2 linked regions of the Schizosaccharomyces pombe genome follow. The protein of the gene in region 2 interacts with the protein of the main gene of each other region in a pairwise test. Each region holds a gene or a part of one and is shown on either strand. Other genes may lie near its edges.

Evidence for each region.
Region 1: the proteins of fol2 (region 2) and SPOM_SPAC4H3.08 interact in a two-hybrid assay, tested with the Schizosaccharomyces pombe proteins (one large-scale study listed by BioGRID).

What each region holds. Positions count from the first base shown.
Region 1 is NC_003424.3:3,839,510-3,843,741, reverse strand, and holds SPOM_SPAC4H3.08 (3-hydroxyacyl-CoA dehydrogenase), read right to left. Parts: upstream 2,162-4,232; coding exon 1,301-2,161; 3' UTR 606-1,300; downstream 1-605. Other genes in the region: SPOM_SPAC4H3.09 (type II fatty acid synthase subunit), read right to left, coding at 165-326.
Region 2 is NC_003424.3:1,774,772-1,778,145, reverse strand, and holds fol2 (GTP cyclohydrolase), read right to left. Parts: upstream 1,647-3,374; coding exon 1,538-1,646; intron 1,485-1,537; coding exon 1,189-1,484; intron 1,078-1,188; coding exon 775-1,077; downstream 1-774. Other genes in the region: UBA/TPR/DNAJ domain protein Ucp7, read right to left, coding at 1,795-3,374.

The sequences.
Region 1 (4,232 bases), 2.1 Mb from region 2:
GGGGTAAAGAGAAAAAACAAAGATAACATTAACCTAAAAAATTTTTTCGTAAATTCAAGCCGACGACTTTTACAATGAGTCTTGAAATTGGAAATAACAAAAATGTTAAGATCCAAAATTACACATAGAGTGAAAAAAAACAACTGAATGAATGCAAAACATACCTTTTTAGGGTCCTGAATTTTGTCAAAGGAAGAAACAACTTTAAGGATTCGTTTTTCAGCATCAGGGCGAGCAACGCTATAAAATCGCAAAGGTTGAAATTTGGGAATCACCGGCCTAACTGCGGAAATAAAGCGCAACTGGGAAGAAAAACGGGAAAGCATTTTATTTCTAAACAACTAGCAAAGCACTTAACAATGAATTTGCAATTTCCGCTATTATCTTTTAATAGGTGGTAGATGACAAAGATGATGATGTCCCACAATTGTATTAGAATACGAATGGGTAGGCTAAGAATGAGATAAGGATTCGTTACAACACGTTAACTGGGTATTTGAAATTTGAAATTTAAGAATATTAAATGTTTGAGTATAGTAACTATTTAATTTTACTTTAGTCATCATTTTTTGTAGAATAGTTAAATATTTTTCAACACTCTACTCTCATTGTCTTGGAAAATGACTCATGCTTCTCTAGTTACTCTGTTTCTACCATTTTGACAAGCACGTGTATGGCAGTATATGAAGAAAATAACAATTTGGTATTCCAACTTTTTTTTAATCAAATGATTCATACTAAGTTAGTTAGTCTTTAATGAAAGAGCAACGAAGAGTGAATTAATTACAAAGCAGGGGGAAGGAAATAATAATATTTTCCTCAGTTGAAAAAGAGTATCTATGTAAATTTTGAATGGATTTCCTACCTGCACAAATGCATTTCAAGGAGTTCATACAAGTATTTAAATGCCTAAATAAGAGATGATTTATGAACCATACAAACTTGTTTTACAATAGCTTAAGGACAAAAAAATATTTTTAGTTAGTCACTGTTTACAGTGTATAACCGTAGATATCCGTAATTCTAAAGGTATAAATAAAATCATAAACATTCTTCATGCTATGAAAGCAAAGATAGAGGAAATTAAAAGGTTTCTTCACTGTTCATCCATTTCCATATACTGGAACCAAAATAGCTATCATAAATCATGCATTGTCTTCATGAGAATGAACATCTCAAAAGTATATGAAAGTACAACTTCAACAATCATCCGGATCAGCAAAATTAAATTGCTGCATTATTCATTTCAAACCAAAAAAGTAATAGACGACAGTAAATGAACGTCGTCTTCCTTTAAAATTTAATTGTTAATCACAGTTCCACCGTTAGGATGAAGAGTTTGGCCTGTCATGTAACCACCATCTGAGCATGCAAGGAAAAGGTAGCAAGAAGCAACCTCAACAGGCTGTCCCATACGTCCAAGAGGAACTTGGTCAGAAAGTTCAATCTTCTCCTTGGGAAATGTGGAGCTAACGAGAGGTGTGTAGATGGGACCAGGAGCAACGGCATTCACACGAATACCATGCTGCGCATATTGATTGCTCAACCCCCGAGTAAATGCGGTAATGGCACCCTTAGTGGATGTGTAGTCTAGTAAATCAGGTCGTCCTACATAAGCGTTGATGCTGGAACAATTGACAATTGAACTTCCGCTCTTCATATGCGAAATAGCGGCCTTGGTGACCCAGAAAAAGGAGAAGATGTTCGTTTTAAAAGTGAGATCCCATTGTTCATCGTCGATATCTTCAATGGATTGAGCGACCTGTTGATATGCGATGTTGTTCACCAATACATCGATCCAACCCAGCTTCTTTAGAGCAAAATCAACCAAATCCCTACAGTTATCAGACTTGTCAAGTTTTCCCTCCCATATCCAACAATTTCTTCCTTCACGTTCAATTAAATCTCTCGTAACTTCTGCATCGTCTCTTTCTTCTGGAAGGCATGATATAACGAGATCAGATCCCTCTCTGGCAAACATCACCGCTGCTGCTTTACCAATACCAGAGTCTCCTCCTGTGAGCAATGTCTTTTTCTCTGCAAGTTTCCCTGATCCGACATGTACCCGTCCATCACAATATCTGAGAAGTGATGGTTCAGGATCTAAGTCGGCATGCTTGCCAGGCCATTTTTGAGTTTGTGTGCTAGGAACAGGATCCATTTTATTAATGTTTTTTTAATAAAGTCGCAGTTATTTAGTTAGTTAGTCAGTCGTAGTAAATTGGAAATATATTAAGGCGCACGTCTATCTCTATATATAATATATTTTTTTTATTTTTTGTCGGAGAACATCCATTTACGTTTCTATGTCATAATCCCCTGATGTATAGGAAATGAACGTAATTTCGAGAGAGAAATCCATTCTCGACAATCTATTCATTCCGCCTAATATTTTTATTCATTCCGCATAGTACTAGAAGCGTGGGAACGGTGTTCCGCCGCTTTGCAATCTCTTTAATTGATATGAGTTAACTTTATACTTCATCCGCCTGCGATTCAAGGTTCGCTTGTATTCAGCAGTTGCGGCTCGATCAGGAGTCTCGTAATCCAGGATTTCGTAAATTATGGCATTGTGATCATGGATCATTAAAAAAAAAATTAAATGTTGTAAAGGTGAATTGAAACGAAAGACAACCATCATTTCAAGCTAAACCTCAATCCAACATCCAAAGAATCAACTAAGACCTAACCGGTATTCACTCTTTAATATGATATCCCCTCTTTATCAGTGATGTTTTCGGGTATCGCAATTATGAAGTAAGTCATTCTTCATAATATTTGATTTCGATGGAAAAAAAGCGCAAAAAAAAAAGAGGAAGAAAATATTAACTAAATCAAAACAGTACGTAATTGGTATTCACAGTTGGATTAAAAGTCTGCTTAAGGAAATTAGCTATTAGCACTAGTTAGCTATGATCAACCGCCGACTGTTGTATTCGGTACCGAGCGACAAGGTTGGTACAATAAGGGACTAAGTGAATGAATGAAATTAATGAAAGCGAATGAATAAGGTAAATATTAATTTAATGGGTGAATTGTAAATAAATTATATTGAGTATTCGAGTGAAACAGATGAACTGTATCGAATTAACCGTTCATATATTTGTCCATAAAAGATTGTAAACCAGAGAGGTATCTTAAACACTGAATCTTACTGACCTTCATTTTTACAAGTTTTTATTTTCCTTCATCCATTGCAATCATTCATTTCGGATGATTGAATTGGAAAACATTGCCAATATGATTATTTAGGTTCATTATTTTATATATTTATTTATTGGCATAAAATTTTTACTACTAGTTTTTCTGCCGCTAAAAGAAACAATAATTTATTCTAGATATAAATTTCTTTTTTTATTTTTTATATTTTAATGGACGCATGTGAATCACTTTTCCATTTGAAATTTCAATTTTCAATAATATGCTGCTACCTTAGAACTTGCAATATTAAAATTGATGCGAAATCTTAGTAAACGTAATATCATGTGCAATACAATCAAAAGTGATTTGAACTGTGACCTAATATCAAAGGTGGACTTACAACCTGTTTTCTAATTGTACTGGCAAATTTAAACATCATGCTTACGTTAAACCTAGCGTTTCTCCATTGCGAGAATATCAGCACTCATAAAAATTTGTGTACTGTGATTTTTTTCCTATTACATTAGCATTGAAGCATGCCATGACATTACAGTACAGTGCATTTCAGGCCCGACGAGAAAAAATAAATAAATAAACTTACGTATACATCTATATAAATCAGCGTCGTATGAATTCCTGTTTTCTCCTAATGATAAAACAAACAACTGTAGCTCAATTGAAAATTAGAGTGCTTGTTTCTGTCAGTGTATTTCCAACAAACATAATTTTATGAATAACAAATTATCCATAAAATGCTTTTTGGTAAATCCATATGCTACCTCCATATAGTAATATACACAATTAAAGATCCGCAATTTTAAAGAACTGTGCCAAAGACGTACGTACAGTTCTATTCTATGAACTTATATACTGAATATGTAATTGTTTAAAAGTGAAACATAGAAAATGCGGCAACTTCATTTTTCCCGATGGATGAATCGCTCTTTTCTTGAATAGTAACTTTAAAAACTACCGTTTTAAAAAAGAAAAATATTATTGAAAAATCTCGAAAATACAAAGATCCATTTCATTTATTGATTCCTCTGAACACAAGCCCCTATAACACTTCAAACCTGCCGATTTCGTAATAG
Region 2 (3,374 bases):
TTGAAACTGCAGCAGTAGTAGATGATTAAAAAACATTGGCAAATTTTATAATTAACGAGACATTTACCTTTATAATAATGTGTCTAGGGTATATCAATACAATCACTGTAAGTTGCTTGCAATACTTATCGATTACGGTACAAAGATTATTCATTCATAATATATTTGATGATAAACTATTAATTGAGCTCTTGCAAATTGAAAGTCTTACACAGCAAAACTTAGTAAATAATTAATAAAATTGTTGAAACTTCATATATGTATATAATAACATGGACTAATTTACCATGTAACCAAAAAAGTGATTCGAAACAACGTTCAAAAAGAAAACTTAAATAGTAGTTTTCCATTAGGATAACGTCTTCCTTAGCACGTTGAGGCTAATAATAGTAAGGTGGAGTGAAATAGCTCCGGTCAATTTTCAAGAAAATAAAATAAGCCATATGAAAAACGACCATGTGTTCGAATTTCTTCTCATAATACTAAGATATCAAAAAAAAAAAAAAAAAAATTCGTGAAAAACAACTGAAGAAGGGCATTCATATTTTTAAAGAGTAATAGAGAGAGAACTTTCGACTGCTTTTAAAATCTTTGGTTGCTAAATCGTATGCATAAATAAACATATGCAAGGATTGATATATTTAAAAAAGTGATTGTTTTAACAACTCAAAAACTGGAATGCAAAAAAAAATAAAAATATAATACCATTTAGTTGTAATAGGAATTTACGGACGGTATCACCTCTAGCGATTAACGAACAAAATAAAACCAAAATTAAAATTTTCCAATCAATCTAAAAAACTCCTCCCTAGTTTTATGGCTTCTCTGAAATATACCAGTAAGACTACTAGTAACAGTACTGCTACCCGGTTTTTCAACACCGCGCATAACCATGCACATATGAGTAGCTTCCATAACGACTGCAACTCCCTGAGGTTTTAAGACAGCTTGAATAGCTTGGGCAACTTGTTTGGTAAGACGCTCCTGCACCTGTAGGCGACGCGAAAACATATTGGCTATACGTGCGAGCTTTGAAAGTCCCAATACACGCTTACGAGGAATATAACCAATATGAATCTACAATAATGTTAGTTTAATACGCTGAGTTTGTGAAAGAGGGTTAAACATAATTGCATAGCCCAATCACGTGAATGCAATGGATAAAATCCACTTCTAAATGAAACCTACTTTTCCAATAAAAGGAACCAAATGATGCTCGCACAAACTGAATACATCAATATCTCTAACAATGACCATTTCTTCGTGATCTTCTTGAAATACTGCCTCATTGATCACTTCGGTCAAATTTTGCTCGTATCCTTTGGTAAAGTAAAGCATTGCCTTGGCATACCTCTCAGGTGTTCCCAAAAGGCCTTGTCTCTCAGGATCTTCTCCCAAACATTCCAAAATTGTTGAAATAGCATTGGAAATTTTTTTTACTTTTTCTTCCTCAGCAGTATCTATTCTACGTTGTGTTCCTTGACCTAATTGGTATTAGAATACTTAAATGAGTATAAAATATGCTTTCATTACTTACAAGGCCAAGAAAGCCCGTCTAAATCAATAGTTGGTGTAGATGCGCCAGAAAGTGAGGCTGGTTGCATCCTCAAAGGAGAATCTATATAATCCTTTTTTCCAGGCTCCATGAGAAATAAATTTTTAATAAATGAAATTAAGATTGCAATGGATAAGTAAACCGCTGCAAATGTTTTACGCTAACCGACAAAAATACTGTCACACATCTTGGTTCATGCAAGAGAGTGTAGCGCAGAACCAAAGTCTCACTATTTGTAATTAAAGATCGTTTTGCTGTTTAAAAAGTTCCCAGGCATGATTAAGAATGCTAAATGCAGATTCAGCTATTAATTGATGTTCCACTGAAGTCTGCTGGGGTAGTTTATCAGGATGCACTCGGGACACCGCTTTCATGTAGGCAATCTTCACCTTCTTTGGTAAGACCAATTCAGAAAGCGAAACCTTTTGCCAGCGGCATTCAGGCCACAAAATAGTATCTAAGGAAGCAAGCAGTGCTCGTAAGTTGCTCTCTTTCCCCTCTTTCCACTTATTCACAATTTGTTGCACTGGCTCACGTAAACGACTTCTTTCTTCGTCTAATTGCTCTGCTTTTTGCTGAGCCATTCGAACGTGTTGTAACCTCTCTGATTTTACCTTTATATTGGTGTGATTAGGGGTACTTTTTGGCTGTTGTGTTGTGCGCTTAGAATGAGATTCGGAGGAGTGAGAAGAAATGGCTGCTTCGCACCTGTGTTTACCATCAATATATAGCTTGCTTATTTGCCCGTCTGCAATAAGATCTTTCCAAATATTCAAAGATTCTTGGTACTTTTCGAGCTGCTCTAAAACTTGTGCCTTTCGAACCATATTTTTTACATAGTAATCATTCATACTCTTGTCTCTAATGCTTTCTCCATGTCCTTTTTCTTCTCCAATAATATCCACTAGCTCATCTACGTCTTGTAAGCAAGTCTTGAGATCTCCAACTTTCTGATAACACAAGCTACGGTTGCTGAGAAGAGGGACACGCTTTGTATGCTTGGCAGGTAATTGAGAAAGCGAGTTTGTAAACTCTTCAATGGCTTGGCTAAAATCACCTTTGCGAAAAAGTTCATTTCCTGTCGATTGTTGTTCTTCTACTAGAGCGCTTACCATGTTATTCAAAGTCTCTTCTTCGCGCTTCTTAACAGTGGACTTCCCAGGTTTATTATTGTTAACTTGACGAGCCGTTGTTGATTCATAAGCCGTTTCAAGTATATTCTCTGTCCCTTCGTACGTATCGGATGGAAAGTTAAAAGAGCTATTGTCTGACTTAGAAGTTAAGAAATCGACTAAAGATGATTCATCATTTCCTGACCGGCTTTGATTAGTGGTGATTCTGTCTTCAGAAACCTTTTCATTCATAGGAACTTTGTGCGGCTTCCGTTTGGGAATTGGGGTTTTAGGAAGGATTTCAGGAGTTGCTTCGCGGCCAAAATCATGGGAAGCATCCATCCAACGAGGTTTGCTAGGATCTTTCACCGCTCGCCTCTCCTCAACTGCATCTCTAAGTTTCTTTCTTCCAATGTTCCAAAGATCATTAGCCTTTTCAAATAACTGACTTTTTAATTGATTGGATAACGCTTGAAAGTCTGAAAATTGAGTTTTTGCACTTGAATCTGAAAATGCTTCATAAGCTTCTCCTTCACGATACTGTCCTTTTGCATTATCTTTTTCAAGAATGTACTCTATGGCATCCTCCAGGCTCCCGGAATTTTCTAAAGCCAATCTGCTTTGATCGTCAGAAAAGCCCAAATCGCGTAGCTTTTCATACATCTCGTTGGAACTTAACTTATCCTTTGCAGTATTCATATTAGTAA